Linked DNA regions of Styela clava. The protein of the gene in region 1 purifies or fractionates together with the protein of each later gene. This does not show direct contact. Links are inferred from orthologs where the notes say so. Each region holds a gene or a part of one and is shown in the gene's direction. Other genes may lie near its edges. The genes, in order: intraflagellar transport protein 88 homolog, intraflagellar transport protein 57 homolog, intraflagellar transport protein 81 homolog and intraflagellar transport protein 46 homolog.

What was found.
Region 2: the proteins of intraflagellar transport protein 88 homolog (region 1) and intraflagellar transport protein 57 homolog purify together in Homo sapiens (affinity purification with mass spectrometry; 3 studies listed by BioGRID and IntAct, counting the BioPlex papers as one, with this or other methods). This does not show direct contact. The link is inferred for Styela clava from reciprocal best matches to the Homo sapiens genes IFT88 and IFT57.
Region 3: the proteins of intraflagellar transport protein 88 homolog (region 1) and intraflagellar transport protein 81 homolog fractionate together in Homo sapiens (co-fractionation; 3 studies listed by BioGRID and IntAct, with this or other methods). This does not show direct contact. The link is inferred for Styela clava from reciprocal best matches to the Homo sapiens genes IFT88 and IFT81.
Region 4: the proteins of intraflagellar transport protein 88 homolog (region 1) and intraflagellar transport protein 46 homolog purify together in Homo sapiens (affinity purification with mass spectrometry; 3 studies listed by BioGRID and IntAct, with this or other methods). This does not show direct contact. The link is inferred for Styela clava from reciprocal best matches to the Homo sapiens genes IFT88 and IFT46.

What each region holds. Positions count from the first base shown.
Region 1 is NC_135264.1:14,458,027-14,465,041, forward strand, and holds the start of intraflagellar transport protein 88 homolog, read left to right. Parts: upstream 1-3,991; 5' UTR 3,992-4,108; intron 4,109-4,702; 5' UTR 4,703-4,738; coding exon 4,739-7,015. Other genes in the region: beta-hexosaminidase subunit beta-like, read right to left, coding at 78-217, 1,483-1,677. UniProt on the Homo sapiens protein: Positively regulates primary cilium biogenesis. Also involved in autophagy since it is required for trafficking of ATG16L and the expansion of the autophagic compartment.
Region 2 is NC_135253.1:4,226,688-4,233,873, forward strand, and holds the start of intraflagellar transport protein 57 homolog, read left to right. Parts: upstream 1-4,163; 5' UTR 4,164-4,443; coding exon 4,444-4,492; intron 4,493-6,341; coding exon 6,342-6,450; intron 6,451-6,749; coding exon 6,750-6,912; intron 6,913-7,012; coding exon 7,013-7,131; intron 7,132-7,186. UniProt on the Homo sapiens protein: Required for the formation of cilia. Plays an indirect role in sonic hedgehog signaling, cilia being required for all activity of the hedgehog pathway.
Region 3 is NC_135262.1:1,880,872-1,887,987, reverse strand, and holds the start of intraflagellar transport protein 81 homolog, read left to right. Parts: upstream 1-4,113; 5' UTR 4,114-4,240; coding exon 4,241-6,220; 3' UTR 6,221-7,116. UniProt on the Homo sapiens protein: Component of the intraflagellar transport (IFT) complex B: together with IFT74, forms a tubulin-binding module that specifically mediates transport of tubulin within the cilium. Binds tubulin via its CH (calponin-homology)-like region.
Region 4 is NC_135257.1:13,329,630-13,337,155, forward strand, and holds intraflagellar transport protein 46 homolog, read left to right. Parts: upstream 1-4,513; 5' UTR 4,514-4,727; coding exon 4,728-5,789; 3' UTR 5,790-7,145; downstream 7,146-7,526. Other genes in the region: ATPase family AAA domain-containing protein 3-like, read right to left, coding at 713-814, 917-993, 1,363-1,576. UniProt on the Homo sapiens protein: Forms part of a complex involved in intraflagellar transport (IFT), the bi-directional movement of particles required for the assembly, maintenance and functioning of primary cilia. May play a role in chondrocyte maturation and skeletogenesis.

The sequences.
Region 1 (7,015 bases):
TGCAATTCAGTTATTAACTCTTCCAAACACAAAATTTCAAACTTTCAGCCTTTTTCATCATAAAAGGATCAACCTACTGAAATAAATGTAGTTTAGTGTTCACTGCATATTTTCTGATAATTTCTTGATATCTTTTGAAGGCTTCAGTAATAATCGGACAAACTTTACTTGAGGGATTCAAGGTGAACACGAAGTTTCCAACTTCTACCGGATAAACCTAAAATATATCGTAAAATTTAGATGAAAGATATTAAAATTCAACTTTGCCAAAGGATTAGGTTTTCATGAAATAAGATATTATAGATATTTAAAAAAAGTTAAAATACATTTTTTCCATAATTTTAATTTTAACTCTGAAATGACGGTCTTACTACTTACTGAATACAGCGCGAAACACCGCAAAGAGCGCGAAACACCGCAAAAGAGCGCGAAACAGCGCAAAACAGAGGGAAACAGCGCAAAATAGTGCGAAAGAGCGCAAAACCGTATGTGCACCAAGATGGCGCACAACCTGAAAATAGTATGTGTGTGTGTGTGTGTAGCGGATTCAGGTTGTGCGACATATTGCTGCACATACTTCTGGAGCACCAAAAAGGTAGATAAAATTTCGCATGATGACCTATAATCCGGTACATAACCTTGTAAATATACCGGAAATAGCGCCATAAAACCATGGCGAGAGGCGCCGTGGTTCTTACATGGCAGGAGGTGGTAATGACTGCGTCTCCTGTTTTGCGCTGGTTTCCTTCTGTTTCGCGCTGTTTTCCTCTGTTTTGCGCTGTTTTGCGCTCTTTGCGGTGTTTCGCGCTGTATTCAGTAAGTAGTAAGACCCCTGAAATGATTTAGAATATTTGAACAACTGGCATTTCAGCAAATATGCCTGCGCAGAACCTTGTTCGATTGAAATACTGTTGACACCGTATAAAATAATCACGCTTCATACAACTTCAAGATTCATACAACTTAAAAAACAGGTGTTTTTATCCTGTATTATAAAGTATTTTCAATACTAAGCATGGGGTGAAGAATTATGATTTGGTATGTCTTTTAAACATGTCAAGAGTGAATATAGCTAACCAGTTAAGCACCAGACCATAATTCATTCTCATCAACTGTGTTTTGCAAAAAACCTAAATGGTAGGGTGAACTTTTTTTGCTCCGATGAATCACATTGTTTACTTTTTTTGAGAAATAGTGACATTTTCAGATTTAGTTCTTTTAGTCTGTTGCGCAGTACCAGTTTACTGATTTTGTGGTGATATGGAGGCACCGAACTGTCTCATGACATTGGGGTTTGCACTCCCTCTCTCATGTTTAAACTCTTTAATGTGAGGGCTATTCTTGAAATCGGAGAACTGTGTTGTGCTGGTACTTTTCGTACTAATCACGGAGGAGAAAAATGATAATTCAGTGTGCCATTGAATTCGAACCTCTGAATCAACAAGCCATGCTAGATTCAAAATTAAAATACACAGAACTTACCGCTGTATGGATTGTCATCTGCTGAGGTTTTGGCCAAGTACTCCCTGGAGCAGTGTTGCCAGATAAAGGAGGAGGAAACTTCAATTGTGCACCGAGAGAATGAGTTTGAAACATGTGTTTTCTGTCATGTGCTGTGACAAAAACTACACAGAAAAGTAGCAATGACACCTTGATATATCCCATCTTCAAACACATAAAATTAACTTATGGTGAACTAAGGCACTAACTGAAAATAATTGGACAAATGATTAGAACCTTGTCCTGACAAAAAAATGGGTCTCAATGGGTATTTTCGTACCTGACATACTTTTAGTGGGTGTAGCATAACGATAAGGTGGGGGTTAGGATTGACATATGCAAAAATTGTTGGTACTAAACTATACCAGACCCGAAATATCATAGTAACTACTTATATTTACATATTTATCCCGGGGGAGAGGAAAGTGAATAAGACGGCTTATCCATATGGCGAACCACGGCCTCTCGTCCGGTTACCATTCCAAGTCGGGTATGGGATTAGTTATATTGTTTGTTTTTCGGAAGCATGGTAGTGGAGGAAGCCGTAACCGACCAGCGGTTATGTGAACCACCCAACGACGACGAGGAGTCCAGCAATCCTCTCGCACATAACCATCCCTGCATGGGATTCGAACCTGCAAACCCACGCAGAGTAATTATAGGTGCGTTGGCGAGCGTATTCCTAATGCTTAGCCCTTTGCCACACCGCCGCTTATATTTACTTAACGTTATATTTAAAAGGCCGAAATGAGATAAATAAATATTTCAGTATTTGAAATAATATTTGTAACTAAAAAGTACAAAACATTCATTCAAGTAATACAGTAACATAATCGAAATTACATCAAATTTGTTTCAAACATATTGAACAAAGCGGTAATGCGGGAATATGTGAAAATTGCGAACTGTTTACTAAACCCTGAAACAGTGAAACGGAACCTGATGATTGGCTGATTGCGGTAACCCAAAGAAGCACCAAAACATAAATAACTGTTACGTCACGTGATTACACAACATAAAACGGATTAATCAATATTGCACATAAAAACGACTCTATTTGCTGAATTGAATTAAAACAATTTTAGCCACAAATTTCCCAGAACACAATCTCAAAATCCCGATATTTCTATCGCCCTCTGACCTTACATTTTTTTATCGACACACGATGGCAGCACAATTCATCAATTGTGTACTATTGGCTGCCCGCTTCTTTATATATAGATGCCGGATCCAGAAACGAAAACCAATTTTTGATGTTTTTTATAAATTTATTCGTGATATTCGTGACAACGAGAAATATATAGCAATGAAAAATAGTAAAATCCTGATACACAAAAGAAAGTGGCATTTATTTATATAATAGTCGATCAAGTGACTTTTTGCTATTTAATTACATATTATTGTTTTTCTTTCCTTAAATACATAAAATGTGATATGTTGCTGTTTTCTTATAACATTATTAGACTACAATTGCAAACATTGTGAGAAATTACCTTTTATAACTGTATTGCTGAATTAAAAATTGTTATTTCAATATTATTCTATTTGCTATATGATTGCCCTTATATGGTATATACCTAAAATGTGAGATTTTTTTTTGCTAAATGATTGCCCCTGTATGGTATATACATATAATGTCAGATTTTCTCAGTTTTCTAATAACATAATTAGATTGCGAATGCAAACATTGTGATACTTTTCATGACTGTATTACTGATATTGTTTATTTCAATATAATTTTATTTAGTAATTGATTGTATAGTATATAGATAAAATGTGAAATTTCTCCAATCTTCTGTTCACTCATACCATACTATTAGATTACAATTTCAAACAGTGTGAAATATTACTTTTTATGAATGTATTATTTATCTTCTAATATTGATTAATTCAATATTATTTTATTTTATGAAAATCTAATAATAAAAAAAAAAAAAAAAAAAAAAAAAAGAAAAGGGTTCATAATAGCTCTGGGTTCATGAGTAATCACATTTTCAGTCCACCCCTACAACAAGACTTTTTTTTTAAATTCTACCCTACCCTTCTTATTGTAAAGTTTTTGAAACGAGGATTTTTTTGCTCGGTGACCAATATACAATGCTTCTCCCTTGACAGCTACCTTTTTTTGGCAAGGCCTTGATATATTTTGTTCTTTCTAACCGGTTGTCTATTTTTTTGCTTGGCACTTCGGAAATATTTTTACATTGCTAAATTTTGGAAAAAGTAATATTTACTGGATAAATATTAGGTACTGTAGCTTTTCGTTCGTTATCTATGACTTTTGTTTCGTTCTTATGAATAATTACCATGATCATTTTCAATTTTGTATAAGTTGTTAATATCAGAAAACTTGCAAAAATCAAACGCCCCAACATTTTAGGAATGTAACCATTCAATGAGCATGTATATATGCTCATTGAACCATTCTACCAGAACACACAGCAACCGCTATAAATACGGAATACATAGAAACATGTAGCCATCTAGTGTTGAAAGGTTTTCTTCACAAATACTGAAATACAACACAGTAAACAACTGTACGGAGATAATATTTGGTTTTTCAAGTTTTCTATTCCGATATAACTCGCTAAAAATCTGTAGAATACTGGTAAGTTGCTAAATTAATTTTTTTTGTTCGATATTATAACTTTAATAGTCTCCAACTATAAAAGTGTAGCTACGTTGTTCAGTTATTAGGCAGTTAGGATGGGATAGGATTTACATATTTCTGTACCGGTATTTATCCCGGGGGAGAAGAAGTTCCAGTGTTTATGCCACATAATTTACTAAATGTTTTTTTTTGCGACCAGAAGTTTGCTATATTTATACAATTTGGCAAAAATTTTAAACAGGTATCCATAATTTTGTATTGAAGTTAATAGGTATATCAAAATACTAAGATTTTGTGGTGTAATCCGACTATGTGCCAAATTTTAATATAAATTGCAATTATGTTGCCCTGTAAAAATGTCTGATTTTACAATTTATAGTAATTTTGATTATCGGAATTAAACAGATAATTAAAAGAAGATTTTCCAGATAGAAATATTTTTACAATGTGTTTAAACTCTATTCTTTGAGTGTCTGATTTTTATTGGACACCATTCCTGCATTCAGCCATTGGACATCTGTTTTTTAGTGATTTTTAACAATACAAAATGATGACAAAATTTTGATTTCCCATGTTCATTTTACATTTCAGATTTAAATTACAATTGTTTGACGCTGGACATCGAAAATGAGTTTCAATTTAGATAATCTTCGACTCGCGACGGAAGAAGAAAATGATGACTTGTATTCTGGATTCAACGAATATAATCCTATGTATGACACAGCAAATCTGGCAGAGGATGAAGGTTTTATGAACGCTGTAAAAACGAGTCACGGACGACGACCTCCAATGACGGCACTACGAGGCGCGAATCCAGTCTTAGGTCGAAATGCCATTCCTCCACCTTCATCATTTGGTCGTCCGGTTACGGGTGCCGTTGCTGATGGGAGCGCTCGACCTATGACCTCCGTCGCCGGAGCAGGTTTCTCATCTAATTTAGGTAAAGGTGCTGCTTTTGATCCATTAAGCCAGGCAGGAAAAGATAGACCAGGTGGCATTGCCCCTCCTCTTGACCCACTATCAGAAAATGGACCAGAAGAAAAAGTAAAAGCACTCGAAAAGCGAGTTGGAGAACTAATTGAGGAAAGCGTTGTTGCACAAAGTAAAGGGAACCTCACCCTTGCACTTGACAAAGCGAAAGATGCCGGTCGTAAAGAGCGAGCGCTCGTACGACAAAGAGAGCAAAGCGGTCTGAGCGAGAACATAAATCTTGACTTAACATATTCTGTTCTATTCAATCTTGCGGTCCAATACGAAGCAAACGAAATGTTCCCTGAAGCTTTGAATACTTACAACGTAGTTGTAAAAAATAAAATGTTCAGCAATGCTGGTCGCCTCAAAGTCAACATGGGAAATATATATTTCAACCAAGGGCAATATATGAAGGCGATTAAATTCTATCGCATGGCTCTTGATCAGGTTCCAAACACTCATAAAGATATGAGAATTCATATCATGCAAAATATTGGAGCTGTGTTTTTAAAAATGGGGCAATACAATGAAGCAGCGACGTCGTATGAACATATTATGACTGAAAAGCCGAACTTCCGAACAGGTTTCAATTTGATTCTCTGTTATTTTGCGCTCGGTGATAGTGACAAGATGAAAAAAGCTTTTCAGAAATTGCTTTCTGTTAATTTAGGAATTGATGATGAAGATAAATACACAACAAACCCAGAAAATACGCAAGAGAGCGTGTATTTGGATGCTATCAAAAATGATTTGCTTCGCCAAGCTGAACGCAAGCAAAGATCAACAGCTGAATGGACCATTTTAAGCGCTGCAAAAGTCATCGCACCTGCTGTTGAAAATACCTTCGCTGCTGGATTTGATTGGTGTATTGACCAAGTTAAAAACTCACCATGCCTTGACCTGGCGAATGATCTAGAAATTCACAAAGCTCTAATGTATTTGAAGGAGAGAGATTTTCCTCAAGCTGTTCAGATTCTAAAAACATTCGAGAAAAAGGAAACGCAGGTCAAATGTCAAGCTGCGACTAATCTTTCATTTATTTATTATTTGCAAGGAAACCTTGCTGATGCGCGGAGATACGCAGACATTGCTACGAAGGCAGACCGATTCAATGCTCCTTCGTTAACAAACATGGCGAACTGCCTTCTTTCTGAAGGAGACGTAAGCGGAGCAGAAACGCTATACAAAGAGGCTTTAGAGAACGATTCATCGTGTCATGAAGCTTTATTCAATCTTGGACTTTTGTATAAACAGCGACAACGTCTGGACGAATCTCTCGACTGCTTTTTGAAATTACACAACATAATGCGACATGATTCTCAAGTCATGTATCATATTGCGTCATTATATGAGCATATGGAAGATTGGAGCCAGGCTCAAGAATGGTTGATGCAGTGTGTCGGAATCGCATCCACGGATCCAAGCATTTTATCACACCTTGCAAAGATTTGTGAAAAGGATGACACAAATGCTGATTTGTCGCAGGCGTTTCAATATCGTTACGATGCGTATCGACTATTTCCTGCAGATATTGAAACTCTCGATTGGCTGGGGGGTTATTATATTCAATCTCAATTTTATGAAAAAGCTGTGAGGTATTACAGTCGAGCTGCTGTAATACAACCTAAAGAAGTAAAATGGCAATTAATGGTTGCGAGCTGTTACCGACGAAGCGGAAATTACCAACTTGCATTTGAAAAATACAAATCGATTCACAACCAATTTCCCGACAATGTAGAGTGTTTGAAATTCATCAACCGGTTATGCGTTGACCTCGGACTCCAAAACGAGCTTCAAGAATATGCAAATAAGTTGAAAAAAGCAGAAAAATCGAAAGAAATGAGAGAACAACGGGCAAGCAGTGGTGGCCGTAGAGGAGGAAGCGGTAGAGGGGATAGAACTCCCGCGAGTGCAAATAGTTCAGATGGGAAT
Region 2 (7,186 bases), on another chromosome or scaffold:
TTGGACAAAGATTTAGCAGTTTTACACGAGCTATAAATTTATTTAAAAGATATAGATTTCCGAATATATTGGAAATATTTACAAAAGATGGCTCTTGTGGGAATTGCAGGAATACTTAGAAGGGTTCTTGAAACCTGTGGACGCGGTCCCAATTGTAAGAAAATGCACATCAGTTGAAAAATTGTGAATAACTTGAAAATAATAAGTGTTACGGTATTCACATTTATTCATTTTCATTATAATCCATTCATGCAACTTCTGTTTAATGTAAAAAATAAAATATGATTGGAGCGAATATATTGACCTTTTAGAATGCTAATACAAGTATAATGTTAAAAGGAGAATTAGAAAATTTCCTTTAGCATGAAGAAATGGGGAGAAATCGAGACAGCAATTTTGTTTTACCAATCCCGTGTATCTCCGGAAATTTGGTCCCGGTGTTGAATTCGCCGACACGCTTGACTTGGTGCTGACAGATTATTATTGCTTCGAAAATCATCGTGCGACTTCCTCCGTTTTTCTGTATTCTGACGGCGCTGTCTCACGTCAAGGTTAAGTGAGTGACTTATAAACATTCAAGTTAGTTGTGCACATGAAATATTACACGATATACTTGACTATAGAACTGATAGAATGCAGATTACAAAACAAAATAGAGGAACAATCAATTGAGTGGGAAGGCCCTAGGACCGGTTCAGCACTCGAAAGCACATTGGCAGTAAGATTTTAAATTCACTTTAAAGCTCCCATGAGTAGATGTAGTCTAGTAGAGAGCCGCTTCGTGCTACGATTGTTCAGCATAAAAAAAGAGTAAGTTGTAAATGTTCTTATAGGTACCCAGTAATGATTTGTCAAGGAATGTAAATTTTGATAAGAGATATGTGTATTTTCGGATCATAAAAAAGTTGCAGTGTGAGGATTTATGCTGTGTGATCAAAGCAGTGAACAAGAATATAAATTGACTGACTGATGGGTGATTGAAATTGTGACGTCTGTATGAAAAACATAAATTAAACACACATATTTTAACTTCAATTAATTAGTGTTTTATGATGGAGTTCTACTGATCTTGATAATTTTTTCCCAGACTCATTCTGTCATTGTATACGAAGTCACCAGCTGCATATTACAAGCTAAGAGGTGTTTTACGTTTGTCATGATAACCCATTTTGCTTGATTTCAGGCTGGTACTAATAACTTTTTTCACATAAATTGGATATCTATTATTGCTATTATCTAAACATGGCTTCAACATATATATATATATATATTTATAATTTTAGATGTGCCAAAAAGTTTTGAATTATTTTGTCGAGTGTTTTTGAATTATTGATTTGTGATCAATAGCAATAACTTTTTTGCTACTGCAAAATCCACCACATTCATTGAATGCATTAATATTTCTCCTGGAACCGTTACATTTTATTAATTCCAATTTGTTTTGTGGGGTATTCACATTTTTGTTTCAAATAATATTTTGTCAAAGTGGCTGTTATACTTATATATAAACACATACATGCTTAGATGGTAGACAAGGTTCGATCGTTGTGGGCAATTTATTCCAAAATATCGTAACTAAAATATAAGTTTTTGCAGACGTCTCGAAACTCACTTTTGAAGAATGATTTGCTGTAATCAGATGGGGTTTTGGCATGGAAACACATCTAGACGGAATTTATGAAGATATGTCTAAAAAAACATTTGAAACAGCCATGTAAACTAATAGACCAACATTTTTAACTCAATAGCTCGATAAAAATGTCTGTTAAATATTAAGCACAGGTATAGCACAAAGAATTGTTTTGGGTATTAATTCATTTGTATTATTCTATCTCCTATTGAGCAATTAAATACTTGTATCATGATTATTATTTCTGAAATTACCAACAGTATTCATGTCATTAATAACAGATGAACTGGGGAAATTTTTCTTTGTAGGTTTTTTCCTGCATCTGTTGCTAGGATTTCGGAGATGTCTGAATTTGAAGCAACGCCAAGTTTTGCAAATAGCAAAATATGCATTAGATCAGCTTAAATTTCATTAATTATTTTACACACTGAAAGTCTACAACAGGTGATTATCTCAAGGATTTTTTAACAAAATAAATGCTATACAGCTACATGCAACACATTCTGTAGTCATATTTAAAAAACAACAACATTTCATTGCTTCTCCAGCGTATGAAGGGCTCCAAATACTGGTACCTTCAACATGTGATATACCACATTGGACCAAACATCTGTCAGACCCCCTTTTAAGTGTAAGATAAAAGTCTTCTAAATCAGTGGTTCTCAACCGCCGGTCCGCGGCAACCTTGCTGCCGGTTCGCCAAATATTTTTTAACATTAATATATTATAAGCAAATTGCAAAAATATTTCCTAAAACAAAGATCTTCAAAATAAGGACAAATTCTAAAAATAAGGACGTTGTGGCAGCCCTGATTATAGGTCAAGTGGAGAAAAAACTACTGTGAAAGCTACAATACTTGAGATGGAGTGAGACCAAAATGCTGTGCTACCAAGCGTTTTTTTTATATAAAGTGCAAAGTATTCATTTTCGTCACTACTTTACCTACATCTGACTGACATTTTTTGCAATGCATCGCATTTTTGATGCCTTGCTTTCTTTCGACAAGGAAGTTGTCACATCATCCTGGTCATTTGCAAGACAGACTTTGTCTTCATTTTCACAATTATTTATTCATTTTTATCAAATTTCTTCGTCCTTCAGCAAATATTTCGATCAGTCATCAATGAACAGGGTAGTTTTTTTATGCAGGAGCGTCGTCGTCGTTAAGCATCTTGTCTGAACAAAACCAACCGTGACGCCCGCCACTTGGAGGTGCAACATCGCCTTTGTTTGTTTATTATAGGGCGAGCGGAGTTGGACATCTAGTAGTAGTATATATTTACGGTTTTACATAAGGACTTGAATTCACTGATGACTATGGTGAAATCTACATGGCGAATACAACAGTGGAACACTATGGATTGTTTGGAAATATTAGGTGAAACATTGGATAACTGAAATTGCCGTTGATGCATATTCTTGTTGGACACGTCAGTGTACATAACGATCGTTTCAATATTATGTTGTTGTTCTTGTTTTTCTTTCGTCGTGATAAAATCGCTTTTTTCTTCGAATACTGGACCTATTGCTTTGAAATTTTCAGTGATTAAAGATTGATTTTTTTCGCCAGAAGGCTATTACTTTTACTTATTTCAAAAATTTCTGTGGACTTCAAGAGATTCGTTTTTTATGCGTCAGAATAAAGAAATAGCGACACCTTTTGACGGGTCCATATATTTGAGCATAGCTCTCTTGTTTTTGTATGTAATTATGTGTGATGTTTATTTATCATTATTGTCTTTATTTTTTTTAATAAACGATTGAATCCTTAATCAGAAAAATAAAAAAATGAATGAATAACCAATCCGAATCTTGGGTCTCCTGATCTGATGAACCATAGTACAACAACTAAACTGTGATAATAGCGCGCAAAGAAAATGTGAGGGGCATGGAGGACGCTTGATTATATTTCAGTTATGTGACCACGTCCAAATTGATTGAACCATGATTTATTATAATATTGATGGTAAAATGTACTGTGACAATAACTGTAGAAAGAAGTTTTAGTTTTGGCAGGTTGTATGCATGGTTAGGCCTACCATACGTCCCGCTTTAGGCGGGACGGTCTCGCTTTTCAGCGTTTTGTCCCGCCGTCCCGACAGGTCAGCCAAAAGTCCCGCTTTTGCGTCCAGCATGTTACACGAACATGTTCTTGTTACCGTTGTTGCTGTGTAGCGAGGCGCTAGCCTACTTACTGAAGGTGAATGCGTTTGTTTCCCGCTGATTCCCATTGGTAGCAGACGTATCGCATGTAAAACCAATACTAATTACTTAGTCCAAATTCGAATTATTTGGACAGCGAATATGCGCATGAAATTTCGATAACAATATGTTCAATAAAGCCAGCCGGGACAGCTTTGAAAGTAGGAATGTTTAGGCCTATGTAGTAAAATCGAAAAATGTAAAGTTACAAAATCACAGCTAGGGGGTCATTGTTTTTTGAGGCGTCCCGATTTGAAGTCACAAAAATATGGTAACCCTATGCATGATAAGGCGCTCAAATCTTTTCTCGGTTACGCCGAAATGTCCATTTAATATATAAAATTGACTGTCAATACTTTTACTGTCAATTAGTTAAATATTTTGAATTGAAATGGTGATTTTGAACTTGAATGAATTCTGAGGTTGAAGGTCAGAAAAACATTCACGGGCCATCTAACCGCTACATTTAGCATCAAAACTAACTAAGTGCCAAGTTTTTTCTGTCCAATACGGCTGCCAGAACGAAGTGGGCTTCTCGTACATTTCCTCGTCTTCGGTGATCAAATACCTCTCATATTCAAGGGCTGTTTGGGTACACTGTGGCAGTATAATGACGGATGACGTTAGAAGAGGCGGAGAAGATGAAGACCGTGGCCCAGGTACGGTACGGTACCGGTATGATTTGTGTGTTGTTTTCACTTGTCAGCTTGTCGTAGGTATGTTAAAAAAAATTTGAAGTCAATCGGATTTACCGTATTTCTCGGCGAATGAGTCTACCCGGTCAATAAGACGAGGACCGTTTTTAAGACTAAAAAAATGGGTTTTTACATATACCGGTACCGGTAACCTGCCAATAAGTCGGGGTTGTAAAATCGCATCAACATCGGAATCTCAAATTACCATGCAATGCCCTTTGAGCGGTCACCGCGTTTGCGCATTGGTTAAAATAGCCTACCGGTATAACGACGTTTTCTTGTAGCGTAATATTCAATCCATAATAACTACGGGAATTTAAACTCTTTAAATTTTCATCTAATTGTGTTCAACTCACGATTTTTTCCACCATAAAAGAACATTCCCTAATACATAATAAGGCGACACCAAACAAATTAAAATTATTATACTCGCCTAATAAGACGACCCCCCCCCCAAATCTGGCCGAAAATTTGGGTCTAGAAAAGCAACTTATTTGCCGAAAAATTCGGTAAATAATAACTGCGTCAGTGGATGGATCTAAGTCAAAATAAGAAAACAATACCAAGTTTGCGAAAAACGGTCAAGAATTAACGGAGATATCGGCATTTTAGTACCGCCCGATAGGCCAATTTTTCTCCATAAGGTTAGCATTACGCTGGCTCAAAAACTGTGACCGCAAGAATGTGAGACCGATAAATAACAATTTCTATCTTCGCTATTTTGGAAGGTAATCAAATGAAATTTGGAACGAAAAGATAACGTGAAAATATAAACCAAATAAAACAACTTTACAAATTCTTTTCAATGAAATAACAGTCTTTTTTAATTAATTATGTACAAGAAAATGTCTTAATTTCTCGAAGTCAATAAACTGATTTAAAGCTTCCATATCTGACTGTATTCACTGAACAATTTAAAATCTACCTGCACGTAAGATATTTACTGTGTTTACGAAAACTCAGAACGAGAAAATTCAGCGCCCGAGATGATGTCGACAATTCGGTCGATAACTATCTGCGAGTTGACAGACTCACGCTAAGATAGTATTAAACGTGTCTTGAAATATTTCGTAGCGTTTTCGAAAAACGCTTGCAAATTCTGTTTTTTTTAGAGAATTTTATTTATTGTGGAAAACATTCTATATTAATCTCTAATCTCTCGATATGCGTCACATCTATGAAATATCAAGGCTCTTTCATAATTTAATTCTGGCAACGGTCAATGAGGCCATCGGCGGATTGTCGCAAATTCAAAGTCGGAGGTGGGTATGTTAAATGAACAGTGGTTCGTTCCGGCTAATAATTAACGATGTTCGGATCGAGCAAACTTCACAAAAATTGGCAAGTTTCAAGTTAAGAAAGAGACACGCGTGTCATTATAGATTTTATAGGTGTCATTAGACGGGATCATTAATTTGTAGCACGTTTAAGTTGGAAGGTATTTTTAAAAGATTCGCATGATAGGAAATATTTGCGCTAATGGAAAAATTCAAAAACAAGGTCATAGTCGTGTTTTTTATCTAATTTATGTCAAAATTTCATGGAAACACTAACTATCGCTGGCAATCCGTAGCCGTTTTTATATGCGGTACTCAAGTATGGCGGTAACGGTACCTAGCAGAAGTGATGCGTACATTTTTTATTGCGAAAATGTGCGTTTTGTAACATTCCTACTTGTCGGTCTGTAGATGTGGGTAGTACGGTAACTTTACTTTATTAGTCATGTTGGGTATAAATTTTTGGTTAAGGGTCCATGTACAAAATCCTGAATTTGAATAATCTCGATTTTATCTAATTACATTCCAATTAACAGGTGCTTCATATCAAGTATTTGAAGTGATGTCAGATTTGCTGGATAAGCTGAAATTGTTAAATTTTGAGGAAAATTTCATGAGGCCAAACAACATGAAACCTCTAACAAGGTATTATCAGCTATGAAATGGGTGGGGACTTTCAGAAAATCTTTGGTCAATACTCAAAGGGTTTTTTGACGGTGAAAATAAAAGATTGTGATAATTGTAATCTCGTATTGCAATTTATAAAGTGGGTCAAAAATTTCAGTTTGTAATTTCGCTTCACACATACTTTTGTATAATATTTACAATGATGCTAACAGCAGTCACAAAAATGATTGTACATTTGCTGTTCGAACCATATTTCAGTTTTTGAATACAAGCCATCTGTCTCTTTTTATTTATGACATCTTTTGGTTTGCTCACAGACATTATTTTGCGGTCCCTACAAATCCTGGTGAACAGTTTCATGCATTCACTTCAATTTCTGCCTGGCTTCTTAACATCATTGGTCGTCCATTTGACATGCCACAAGAATTTGATGATCCCAATGCTACTATATCAAGTATATTGGAAGAAGTAAAACGAATGGTATGTATAACAATTTTTTAAATCATAATTAAACATTTTCAATCGTGGAGAGACTAAATATTGTATTTGTGATTTTTTATTCTTTCTTGAAAATTTTCAGGGAGTCGCGATTGATTTTCCACCATCCAAGTTGAAGCAAGGATGTGGAGAATATGTTTGTTATATCCTTGATCGTTTGACTGAAGAAGCATTGAGGTCAAGTAATTTCCAGTGGGGAAGGTAAATATTGTCATCTAGATAATTTCCATTTATTCAGGTGTATCCTATCATAGGT
Region 3 (7,116 bases), on another chromosome or scaffold:
TTTTAGTAAGAACATAGTGGGCATATCCATTTTAGTAAAGACATAGCGGACATATAGCCATTTTAGTAAGAACATAGTGGACATAGCCATTTTAGTAAAGACATAGCGGACATATAGCCATTTTAGTATGGACTTAGCGGACATAGTCATTTTAGTAAAGACATAGCATACATATAGCCATTTTAGTATGGACATAGTGGGCATATCCATTTTAGTAGGGATATAGCGGGCATAGCCATTTTAGTAGGGACATAGCCATATTAGTAAAGACGTAGCCATTTTGGTAGGAACATAGCCATTTTAGTATGGACATGGCGGACATACCCATTTTAGTAGGAACATAGCGGACATAGCCATTTTAGCAGTGGCGGCGCGTCAATAGGGCCAACCGGGGCAATGCCCCGGTTGTTTTTTCGGCATAATAAAAAATATTTGAAAAATACCTCAATATCGGTTGCACACACTGTCTACACTAGCCATATTCTCCCGACATGGTTCATTTTTCGCTCGCAAAGCCTTCGCCGAACGTCGACAGGGCGACGCCGATTTTGCCCCGGTTGCTCATTGTATATCGTATTCTCTCTTTTATCTTCCACTCGCCGCGTTTGTCTCGTTTGTTTTCTGTTTCTTTTACTAAATCATCGGGGCTAGCCCCGAAATTATGACGACACAATGCCGACGTTTCTTACAACAACGTGTTGACATATTCACGCATTCCTTCTCGTTCGTTGGTTGCTTGAAGAGTTGATAGTTTCCTCGCCTTCGTTTTTGTCGCTTGTTTCGCTATTTGAATCAGTTAGAGACCTTTAGTCCATTTGCTTTCGATTTTCCACATTCCTTTTAAGCTCCTCACTTCTTTCCGGCTTCGCATTTCTTGGCCTTAGACCTCATAATGAATAAGGTTGATGCACTACTTCGCACTCCGTTTTCGCAGCTGCCGTTGGAACAAAAATTAGAGGTACCACGTCTTGGGCCTTACCAACCAAAAAAATGTTCACTGGAACAATCCCATGACGGAGGAAAGCGTCGGCGTACATTCTGCGCAAAAACTTGGTATAAAAAACACGAATGGTTGTGTTACAGCGAGGACAAAAATGCACTTTTTTGTTTTTATTGCCTACTTTTGCTACCGCCCGTGACTCACGTTGGTGTAAATTTGGTTTTAGAGATTTTAAACATCTTTCCGAGCGTGCCAGGGATCATCAATCTTCTATGGAGCATCTGGACAATGCAGTAAAATACCGAACATTCGGAAATGTTAATATTGCAGCACGGTTGGATGAAGGACGCGCGGTTTCTATTCGTCGGCACAACCAAAACGTCGAGAAAAACCGCCATGTTCTCGGTCGATTGATAGATGTTTTGAAGTTCATTGGTTGTCACGAGCTGTCCCTCCGTGGGCACGATGAACGGGCTGGCTCTTCTAATAGAGGGGTATTTTTGGATATGGTGGAATACACCGCATCCCTGATACAGTATTGAGAGATCATCTTGATGCCGCAACTGTTTCGAAAGGGACATCTAAGGATATCCAAAATGATTTGCTCGACTCAATGTATAAAATTTATTTACAGCATTTGGCTCTGGAAATTGAGAATTGCCAACTGAAATCACGTGCGTTTCCCAACTGGCTGTGATTTTTCGGTTTGTGAAAGATGGTAAACCTACCGAGAGATTTCACAGCTTTGTACCAATCGTTGATCGCACGGCTTGCGGGATATCGGCTGTACTGAAAGAAGTGTTACAGCCTTACAACGCGAAGTCAAAATTGATAGCTCAAACTTATGCAACCGATATTGAGGTATTTTTCGAATATTTTTTATTATACCGAAAAATTGCCCCGGTTGGCCCTATTGACGCGCCGCCACTGGATTTTCCTCATGCGCATTTTTTACATTGTTATGCACACCAATTTAACCTCGTTATTAAAAATATGTTTCTTGATACCCCTCTCGTCCGTATATTTTTTGCAAATGTTTCGGGGTTTTTATTCATTTTTTTCCGTTTCGCCGAAGCGCTCTGACCTCCTTCGCCAGATATGTAGCCGCCGTCTCCCAGCTTGTGCACCAACACGTTGGAACTTCCAATCACGCGTGGTGCAGGGCGTGTCCGAAATTAGGTCTGAGCTCATTGAATGTTTCAATGGCATTCAGAGCTCTCCGGTTTGGGACGAACGCTCTGTGAGGGAGGCGGCAGGTCTAAAGCGTCTGCTAGAAGATGGTGAGTTTTCATTTTTTCTCCACAATATTCTATCACGTGGATGTATTATACGGCGCATTGCAGTCAAGGCTAATGGATGGAGCGTCTGTGCAGTCGTGTATTTCAGACTTCTGCGATGCTGTATCTCGTATCCGGGAAACAATAATATACGACGACACATGGAGTGCTTCTTTACGCCGCGGGCAAACAACGCAGCGTTTGCATTTGTCTGCAAAGGAATGCTGTGACATTCTGGTGAATCAAATAGGCGATCGTCTGCGCACTGAACACCTTGCCGCGTTCTCTTTGATGAACCCCAAAAATTTTTCAAAATTGCACGTCAATTTCCCATCCATTTGTTGGCTACTGTCTCCAAATTTTACCCCATGATAAACGTGGGTAAATTGGAAAATGAATTGCGATGTATATACACCAATCAAACTTTTTTGAACATCACATCAACTTGCGCGCTCTATGGGTTCCTCATAGATAACACTCTAGTAACTCCCATTGCGGCGTCTGCAAAATTTCTGGACATCGTTTTGACGACGCCTATTTCTTCCGCCGACGCAGAGCGAACATTCAGCACGCTGAAGCGTATTAAAACGTATCTCAGAAACACAATGAAGCAAGATAGATTAAATTCCTTGGCTGTTTTATCCATTCACAGAGACGTTATTTCTGGGATGCATGACTTTAATCAGCGTGTTATTGAGCATTTTGCTTCCAAGAAACCGCGGCGTGTTGCATATATGTTCAAGCAGTAGAAGTCTAGCAGCATATATATCTATGAGTGAGCGACGCATGTCCTTATCTTTGCATTATCTTTTCTTTCTTCGTAGTAACGTTTTAAACCTTATTTTAGGTTTTGTCTGCTTTCCCGAAGTTTCTGTTAATATGTCATTGTATTTATCTGGGTAAATATTGCCTTTCCTTTTGAAAGAGGTTTCAAAAACAATGTCTATATATATTAATCCCTTGACTTGGACCGGTTTTAAAGACACTTTCTTATCGTTAAAAATTGTCGCTTTTGCCGATTGGTTGTTACCGATGGAATGGTTTTTATACTCATGAAATGATGGGAGAACTTACAGCGCTCATCCTGTCCCCGTAGATGGGGGTGACTTGGTCCCGCAGTAGCTTGCCCCGGTTGTCAAAATGACCACGCGCTGCCACTGCATTTTAGTAAACACATAGCGGACATATAGCCATTTTAGTATGGACATGGCGGACATAGCCATTTTAGTAGGGACATACCCCTTTTAGTAGGAACATATATCAAAAGGGGTGCATGCCGCACATTTGTGTTTTAGGCCAATATGGTCTTGTGCATACATCCCGTCTTCAGTATTTATAATTACTTACTCTTTTATATTGCTTTTACGAGACGAATAAACATACATACATACATAGCGAGCATAGCCATTTTAGTAAAGACATAGCGGGGACATATAGCCATTTCAGTATGAACATGGCGGACATAGCCATTTTAGTAAAGACATAGCATACATATAGCCATTTTAATATGGACATGGCGGACATAGCCATTTTAGTAGGGACATACCCATTTTAGTAGGAATATAGCGGGCATAGCCATTTTAGTGGGGACATAGCCATTTTGGTAGGAACATAGCTATTTCAGTATGAACATGGCGGACATACCCATTTTAGCCGACTTGTCTTTCAGCCTGCGGAATATTTATTTGAACTAACTTAGTTTCTAAGCGGTTCAAAAATTGCAATTTTCACGTTACTGTATTGTGAACTTGTTGCTGATTGTTTATGGTTACGGAAATAAACCAGGAAATCGATGCCCGGCGGAAACTTCCACTGTCCTTATTAACCGCTTCATTTAAGCACCGTTGTGCATCGAAGACTCTGAATTATTTATTATAGCTGTTCAGTGACCCTTGACCGCGTTCTATGTTTGTTAGCAACCTGCATTCCTGAACGTTTCTCGTTGACGCGTTCTTGTTTTTCTCAGAATAGCGTCCACAAATTGTGAAGTTTCTATGTGTAATTTTGGAAATTAACAACAAAAATGAATGATCAAGTGAAGAAAATTGTTGAAATATTGAATAAGAAGCCCTTTGAGAAGGAACTTAGTGCGATTGCGTTTCATTCGCTTGGATCTGAGCAGCTTATTCAGTTGATGAATGATATTTTAGCCCATATTGACAGCAGACATGCAGGGGATATACGGGAAGAAGCTCCGGACGCTAGAGCAGGTCGAATTTTGAATGCTTTGAAAAATCTGAAATATTCACCGCCTCCAAATGCCGATGTTTCAAGTTTTCGACAAGGAATTGTATTGGGGGAAAAGGAAGTTTATTGCCCAATTCTATTTTATCTCCTGACAAATCTGGATTCACTGAAAACTCGTGCCTACTTAGCAAAGTTTTTGGTGAAGTTACAGCTTCCTCCTGAATTTGTTCAAGATTTTTCGGATGCACAAATGCAAGAGGCTTGGCATCGGTACGAAGAACTTCAAGATCATTTTCTGAACTGCCACAAGGAGTACGTTGATCTGAAAAAACAAAGTCATGGTACCGGTGAAATCCGCAGCGATATTACCACCATGGAAGAAGAGAAAGAAAACCTTTCAAAACGTGTAACTCGACTTCGTAAAAAAGTTGAAACATTTCCAAATCTTAGCGAAGCATTATCCACTGCACAAAACATGCGTAAAGAAAAAGAACGAGCAGATGATTTGAAGTTAAAAATACAACAACAACGACGTCAGTTACAACTCAGCGAACAAAGATTACAGAACGCTAGACAGAGTCTCCAAGACGCACGACAGGCTGGCTCGAACGCAAACCCCGAATCGATAATTGGGAGAATGGAAGAAGACAACCGTGTCAATAAATATTTAATCGATGAAAAGTTACCGAAAGAAATGAAAAGTCGGAAAAAGTTTTTACAGAGTTTACAACAAGTTGCATTGGAGCCTGCGATCACGCAAAACGATCTGGACAGGATTGAATCAGATATTCAAGACATGAAAAATAATATCAACAGTCTTGTCGAACAACGAATGGTCAAAAATTACCCAGCGAAAGATAATTTGACAATGTATCGCCAACAAGCTTCGATCCTACAACATAAGAAAGAGACTGTGTCGGAATCATTGCAAGAAACGCAAGAAGAGTTTCAAAAACTGGAAAGTGATGTTAAAAAAAAGAGACAACAGCTTACTGAAATGGGGGGAGAAGTTCTCCGTGGAGAAGCGTTTAAAAATTATGTTTCAAAGTTACGTGGAAAAAGTAACAATTACAAAAAGTCCAGACAAGAGTTATCAGACCTTAGAGCAGAGCATGGTGTTCTCTCTCGCACTGAACAGCTTCTAAAACAAAAACACGAAGATGCGCAAAAAACTCTCCGCACTCGAGAACTTAAAAGTGGAGTTTCAGGTTTTCGTGATACCCAAGATGACTTGGAAAAAGTATCGTCGATGAAAAGTGAACTTGATGACGCAAAACATCGTACTTTAGATGACATGTCAGATGCCGTAAAACGTCTTAATTCAATCATCCAAGACAAGAAATCTGACCTTGCCCCGCAGATCCGTGAACTACGACCTTTACGTCAAAAGAACCAGGAATTGATGCAGGAATGGACTGAGAAAAAGGGGCATTACGATGGAGTTCTTGCCGGGCTTGAGTCAAACCGTGCTCAATTGGAACAGACAGTTACAGGATTACGAGAATTCTGCTCAGAAACGGAGAGCCGATATTTTTACTTGAAAAGCATGAATAAAATTATCGAAGTCCAATTAGAACGAGCAAATAAGGAATTACGGACGTACATGTCCGCGACTGGAGCAGATAAACAGAAATCCTATCGAGAGATTTACAATAAAAAGATACAAGAGCAAGAAAATAGAGCAAAAGCACTTCGTGAATCTCAGAAGCAAGTTCGTGAAAATCACGATCAGAATCAAAAACAAATGTTAATGTGGTCGGATCTAGATAAAATAATGCAATGTAAATTGGACTGTGCTAAAAAGATGATGAACTAGGATTATTCATCAAAATGACTGTATTTTGAGAAGATATTGGGCCCAGGGGACGGTACATTACTCCTATATAAGCTTCAAATTTTTGTATTATGGTATCGTATTTTGATGTTGAATTCAACAAATACTTTAAGACAATGAAAATAGTAAAAAGCAACATAGCCTGGGCAATATGAAAAATCTCCAGAATTGCTGATGTCCTTTGACTCTTGGTTTAAAGACCTATTATTGATTATTGAATCCCTAATTAAAGGAATGAAAGGAACTATTATTTTTACAAGAACTAGAATTCTTTTTTGATTCAGCATCAATTCATTACACTCTGCTCTGGGTATGGGGGGATTTATTAGATACCGTACACAAATTATTGTAGTACTTTGTGCATGTCAAGTTATGTTGAAATATTAGCCTTTTTGTATAATTTTATTTCAAAGCCTTTAACCTTGTGTTGCTTATCTGACTGTTGTAAAATGTCATCGGCCCAGTACAAGATTTATCCCAAAATCTTCTAATGAGCTAACATTTATAAATTGTAGACATTTCTCTGATATCTGGTTCAGAAAGTGTTTAATATTGGTAACAAAAATGAATTCGTAATTTTATTTTATTTTCACTATTACTGCAATGTGATTTAAATTTGTTCTGATCACCATGCATAAGGCTAGCAAAAGATTCGTCTTAATTTACCAAGAATCTAATTAGATGCTTATTTGGTTCCCGGTTTTGGAAATGTGTAATACCGAGTGCAAGGTTTGAATGTGAATTTTTCGGTTTTTACTCTGAATGCAATGTTGTTTCAAATTGGGGGCTAACCCTAACAAGTTCAGATTTTATTATCTAAATAGTTGGGAACCCTTCCTAGCAAAATTGTACATATTCAAACACGCCTATATTGAAGT
Region 4 (7,526 bases), on another chromosome or scaffold:
CTCACGAACCAACATGTACATTGTACAGAATTAAAACAACTATTCTTTTAAGTTCAAAAATTATTATGTGAATATGTCTCATTTTTTTAAGTTCGTTTTTATTAAGTCCCTCACTCTGAGCAAGGCTCTGCACAATTGGTCTCTGCTAGGTAAAAAGCTACCATTGTTTGAAAGAATAGGAATCTTTCCGGTTTGAGATTGCCAATCCAGTTTAATACATCTCGGGAGAGGGTGCTCGGGCAAGGGAACTCAAGATTTAATCCGCGATGCCAACATAGTTTTGGGGCCAAAGCTTCAACCGTTAGGCCAGCAATGTTTTTAGGTGAGGCCCAAATAGTAAAATAGAAAAGGTCCCAAGACTCTATGATTATGTTGTTATGAGAAGTTTATGAAAATTTTAAATTTAAACATGTAATAAACTTGTTAAGGGACATTTTATTTGTTTAGATGAAATGAAAGTAATGTATACACAGATCTAAATCAAATACACAGTTTGACAGAATGTCATACGATTTAACACGAGCCTGACAATCAAAACATATCGAGTATTTCAATATACTTATTTCACTCAATATAGTATAATATATTAAAATTGATTTATGATTTTATCTGTTTTAAGTATATCAAAGGTATTATCTACATAAATTAAAAAGAGTTGACACGTTTACAGCCAGGCTCTTCAACAAATTATGCAAGTCTACTCAAACCTGACCTCTTTCTTTAATTTTGCATCTTGCTGTAAGTTATTTCTTTTTTCCTCAGATTGTTGTCTGATTTGTTCAATTTTCAATTGTTCAACATGTGTTTCATATTCCTAGAAAAAAATGATATATTTGATCACTGTACAATAAGACAATAAGAAATTTACATCTTTGAGTCAACCATATTTAAAAATAAAATGACAATATTTGAATACCTTGACTTTTGCTTGAAATTCAATTTGTTTTGTGTGTTCTTGATGTTTCGAGAGTTCCAACGCATCTTTGGCATGAGCTGAACAAAAGAATTATCGTTGCCATAAATGCATAAATGACAACTCATTTGGATATTATAACTTTGGATTAACTGTCTTGAACACTAAATAAATAAAACGACAAAAACAAATGTACAAAATAGAAGAGCAATAATTGCTTCAATGTCATGATTAATGCTATTTTTTGTGAAGTAATGATTCCTAATTTTATTTTCGAAGGAATTTAGTTCATCATTAAAAACCAAATTGGACTGAAGAGTACAATAGTAGAACACTTAATCCAACTAAGAACCAATCCAACTAATATTTCATATGGGCTGACACAAATACTGATTAGTTATATTACTGTATTAATAAATTATAATTTATGTCATAAATGAAACTCATACAAGATGCATCCAGCTCTCTGGCAGCTTTTGCTGCTCTCTCCAGGCCAGTCGGATCAAAACTTGACCATTTATCTCCAGGTTTGAGTCCTGAATTGTCATTTTTATCAGGTGGAGTTGGTGGTGTAGGTAAGCTGCCAGCATCAAACTTTACATCGGGAATATCTGCAGATGCACCTTTGCTCCCAAAAAATTTGCTTAATATTGAATTGTCCATAATTTATTTCTAAAAATGAACATTCAATACCTCACTTTCCTAGTTAAATTTTTGAAATATAGAATTCTATTTATAGGAAACCTGGAAAATATTTCACTTTAACAAAGCAATAAAAATACACCGCTGCCATGAAATCAAAATACAATTACTTTCCAGTGTTGTCATATGGCAGCATATTAATGATTGATTGACTTGACTATTTGCTTAATTTTGAAGAAAGTTCACTTTCAAATTGAATTTATTTTTTTTAGATACATTTTGAAAAATGTTCTTTAGATAGAAAATTTTTTTTCAACTTCCAGGGAAGGTCAAACGGGACTGCATTAAACTACTCTAGCCATTGCACCATCCTCTGCTAAAGAGCGTTAATGGGATAAAATATTTCCTAAAAAAGTTTTTTCAGTATGTGTGTTTCAAAGCAGCACATGGGAAAAAATTCAACAGAATAACTTGATATATACTACAACAACCTTCCAGGCAGTTAAAATTCAAAACTTTGTAATATGCAATTTATTTTGTGAATTTAATCACAAAATCACACCTATTTATAGCCCATGTTCAATATGTACATCTTGATCTTGAAATGCTGTAAAGCAGGGGTGTCAAACCCGCAGCCCCGGGCCGCATGCGACCCCAGGGAGATTCCATTGCGACCTTCGAACACTTAACAATTATTGTAATATTTGGTAATTTTTTTTTATCTAAATGAATGATAACACATTTTTCAAACATTTCAAAGTGAAATTGATTTTTCACACAGAAAATGACAATTTACAGAAAATAGTTTTACAAATTTTTCAGTTATCATTTGACCCAATTATTTTGGTACTGTAATATCATTTCAGCTTTATATTAGTAAGCTGGTGGCCCGAATGAGATGCCAAACGCCAGAAAATATGTAATAATAAACATTGGTTTATTCTGTATTTTTGTAAATTTTAGGTCTAAATAATAAGATAAATCATTTTCAGTCTATGTATTATTTTTTTATTATCGAAAATATTTTTAAAAAATGTTTTGGATAATTGTATATAAAAATTTATAATTTTTTGTAAAAAATAGCCTACAGTGAATAACAATAATAGTGAAATGCAAGAAATTAATATGTAAATGGCATTTGAAATTTAGGAAATATTCGGCCTATCTAAAAATATACATTATCAACATCAAAAACTGTTTGCGGCACAATTCCCAAAATGCAATGCCCTCCAAAACCCACGAGTTTGACACCCCTGCTATAAAGGATATGCCAAATTCTCAGGTTCTGGGTTCATATGTTTTATTGAATGCTTGTGCCTATATAAAAACAGCATATTTCACTTATATTGGTATTTATATATGGGCATTTTTCATACTGATCCTTAAGATGACATCTCTTAAATGGGAAACCACCGCTTCTGACGCAGTAATCAGAATTGGTCTGGTAGGGGAACATCTATTACGGCAATCTTGAAAGCCACACAGACTTAAAAGGAGGGAAAAAGCAGGGACTGACTGTGATTCTACTTTTGAGTCGCTCTAACACTGACATGGGCAAACTACGGCCCACGAGTCAAATCCAGCCCGTTGAGTAATTCAATCTGGCCCACCTGATGCTGCCACAACTGCAAAACTAAACTAAAACCAAATTTTTGATGTTTTAGATAAAATAAAAATCAAGAAATTTGTCAAGATTGCCATTAAATTTAACTTCATCACAAGCTAACAGGGCTCATTGTTGTCCACTTTTGCATCACTGTAAATATCGTTCAATAAAATGTAAATTTTGGCCCCTGGTTCAAAAACCTCGCCCATCCCACCCCTGCCTAACATCTGAATAACCAAACCCATACATGCCTATTAGCTTCTTGTATTCAATTTAAGACAAATTATAAGTTTTTTCATTTTAGGGTTCGCATCTAAAGAGTTTCATATTTTTCGATGGATTCATCCAAACACTGAAATTACGCAGCAATTGCGTCATTCATCACTCGATCATTTGCGATGGCGCAAGCCTGTCTGCCTGTGAGCGACGATGCTCTAAAATTTGAAAACATTCCAGTAAAAGAGCTAATTTTAAATGATTGGTTCCTACAAACGAACGCCATTACTGTAAATGGGGTCTATGAACGATCACGAAAACCTAACATATCAGACATTAATCCACGTACCGCCGTACACATAACAGCGGGCCTATCCCAAACATATTCATAACCTGCACAGTACCAAAGTGACAAGGGCACACGTGTGATTTTGAGAGATTGTTAATACGAGAGTTCATTAGAGCGTATAAGTATTTTCAACAGCTACATTTAAGTAGTGATACGCATTGCTTAATCTCGTCCATCTCCAAGACACCACTGCGAAGCTATTGTCGCTCTACAGATATTGTAAATGCTTTGAATCTGTAAACTCAGAAACTAGTAAACGACAAAAATAATGTTAGTGGAAAGGGTTTATGAATGTAAATGTTTCGCGATCAACCCATTTCTTTGTTTATCACGCAACAATGGTGACGTAACAATCAAAAATTCATCACTTCCCGGACTCTTGCTTTAACATCAGAACATCGAAGTCTCGATTTAAACAACTTTTTGTGAGCGTCGACTCGATTTCGCAGTTTTATTTGTCGGTTTTTAAGTGTAGACTATACGGTATACGCTATGGTCATCGTTTATTCGTCTAGTCGTGGGAGAGCGTTGATAAGTGATTGCTGCTGGGTTGTAGCTGATTATAATTTTAGTGCGATAAACAATAATCTTTTGCCAGTTGTAGACCTATGGTATTACATTTATCAAAATCAGGGTTTCTATTAAATTTATATTAACCAAAGTCGTCAAATTGAATCCAGATAATAAAATCCTTGTAAATTCATGTGTTTGTAGTGAAATAGGTATCGAGCTAAATTAAGGGATGAATGTTTTGGTACCTAAACGGCTAAATGAAACCGTGAATTTCACTGCCCAAGTTTTTTATTTTAAAATATAAGGCTAGGCTATAGTCCGATTTGGTGTTTAATGAAATTTGTAACACCCTGGTGTTCTATATTGCATTCACTAATAAATTTAAAAGTCAAAAGTACAAGTTTTCTGCACTGCTCAATACCTTAAACTATTGTCTGAACAAACACTTTCAGCAGTCTTGATTCATTTATTTGTTCGTAACATGGTACATGGCTTCAAATGACGAAAACACTAAACTAGTTGTTAATCAGCATTACGACGAAAGCTTGGATGTGAACGATTCTGAAGAAATTGCCAGTTTATATAGCCCTAGCCCAAGAAAGACTCCAACACCGCTTCTGCAACCGGGACCTGAGAAGCCAAAATATAATAAGATGTCATCACAAGATGATGATGATCAAATATCAAATGAATTTGGAGATAACGATGCCACTGATGGTTCTCCTGGTGATGTTGCTGATCCCCAAGCTCAAGCAAGGTCTGGGACATCAACAATGAGCGAAGGAGATTCTTCAGAGGACAGCGACTCGTCTTCTGGTGATGAAGAAAATGGAACAGCCCTAGAAGGTGCTTATGATCCTGCAGATTATGAAGGTTTGAATGTAAGCGTGGAGATAAAAGATTTGTTCCAATACATTACTCGATACACACCTCAAACTATTGAGCTTGAGCACAAATTAAAACCATTTATACCTGAATACATTCCTGCGGTCGGTGACATTGATGCATTCATAAAAGTATCAAAACCTGACAATTCATCCAGTTTACTTGGACTCACTGTATTAGATGAACCATGTGCAAAGCAATCAGACCCTACGGTTCTTGATCTGCAGTTGAGGAGTATCTCAAAAATGTCTGGTATAAAGGCAATGCAAGTTCGTAGTCTCAAAGATGCTCAAACCAATCCCAAATCTGTGGAATCCTGGATTGAAAGTATAGAAGATTTACGTAGGACAAAGCTTCCACAAAATGTACACTACACAAAAAGCATGCCAGATATTGAACAACTCATGCAGGAATGGCCTCCTGAATTTGAAGCTCTTCTTTCTAAGGTTCGACTACCATCTGCAGATCTTGATTGTGATTTACAAAAATATATTGACATGATATGCGCCGTGTTAGATATTCCCATATATCCAGGCAATAAAGTGCAATCACTTCACGTTTTATTCAGCCTCTACATGGAGTTCAAGAATTCCCAGCACTTTCAAACTGCTAGTCCCAATGAACATCATGATGTGAACGAGCCAGATGTAATGACTTTTGATTAATGTCATATAATACTGCATCAGGTGCTCCTTTTTTCATTTGCAGCTTATGGAAACAGTTACTGTGACACATTCATTCAAATTTGTCCCATTGAACTGCGCTAGTAACTTAGTCATGATTTATAGTATATTTTTGTATCGAATGTTTCTAAGTGTATATATGTTTTAGATAGTGTTCATCACTGTTATGTATGATCTCTCACTTCAGACTTTCATAATAATTCAATATAACTGTTACCACTCTCTCTCCAGGGATGGCCATAACTAAATACTTTGCTATTTCGAATACATTCTAAAGTTCCCCTCATATTTTATTCACTTTTCTGATAATAATATCATTGTAAAGCAGCACAAATGGAATGTGTGATAGTATTGAAATTAGTGGTTTTCTTGCTTCTAAGAAAAAAAGACATGATAAACATACAGTATTCACACCTGTGAATGGTGGTGTATCTTGGTATTCACAGAAAAAAGTGCAACTATTCGTCTAGTGAAATGTTTTGAATTCTACAGAAAAATCAAAGTTAATAACAACACACACACTTTTGTTATAACTTCTGACTGTTTATCGTCAGCGTATGTGTTATTTATTCCACCAACATAGTTAAGCTAAATTCAGCCACAGTTATCCCTCTACACAAAAATTAATTGTTGTGCAAGCGTGATCTTTAAATTTTATTTTGCTCCACCATTCGTTGATTCAGAAAAACGCAAATGTTATTACGCAGTCATTGTCATAATTAAATGAGTGAACCCAATTTCCATCAGCTAATGACAAAAAATTAGGACTGAAAATCGTGTTTTATTTTTTAGTAAGCGCTGATTCAAATCTTTCATGTCAGTTGTTATGCTCCTAAATTAAAACCGCCTACTGAACAATATTATCATCAACGACAACGGGATAACGTAAAATCCCCGATACTAAATAATAGTTGAGAACTATTTTCTTCGCTGTAAATTGCAGCAATGTAAAAATTTCCTGTTATGTTCGGTCACTATCGAAAGTGAGTATGAAAACAATTAATTCCGACACAATTTGCTTTCGGATTTTTTGCTGTGGCCGCACAAAGTATCTCGACTAAGTTGAAATATACGATACTAATTGTAAAATATTTGAGACATTTTATAAGCCCTAATTTAAATCTATTTATTGGCACGTCACACAAGTCCGTCTTGATTACGATAAAAAGTAATTGTAAAATGTTTTCAATCAAATCGTTGGCGGTATGCTCGGACTGGGTCATCATGAACATCTTTATATAGACCTCTACCACTCTGGCCCACAAATAAATACTCAATTTGACAACTCTCTGATTTGTAAAATTTTCATGCTATTTTTCTAATACATGGCAAAAGAACTTAAGTTTTTAACTATACTTAATTCTCCCACCGGAAGGGTAAATGGTTAAGGATAGCCATTTGTGTACTTGTCATGCATCTGATTTTTGCACCACTTACCCAAAACATTAGGTGAAATTGCTCTATAATCAGGCTTATAATAAGTAGGACCGTCGCCATACATCTGATTTTTGCACTACTTCCCCAAAACATTAGGTGAAATTGCTCTCATAATCACACATTAAGTAGGACCGTCACCAACCTCTTGTGCTCTGATATCAATTGTAATAAAAGTGAGCGCCGCATCGCTAATTCTGCAAAGAGCAGACATACTCTCTTAGGAACCCCAAAATGAATGATATATGATGAATGTCTGTATCCCTACGACACATGTGGGAATAA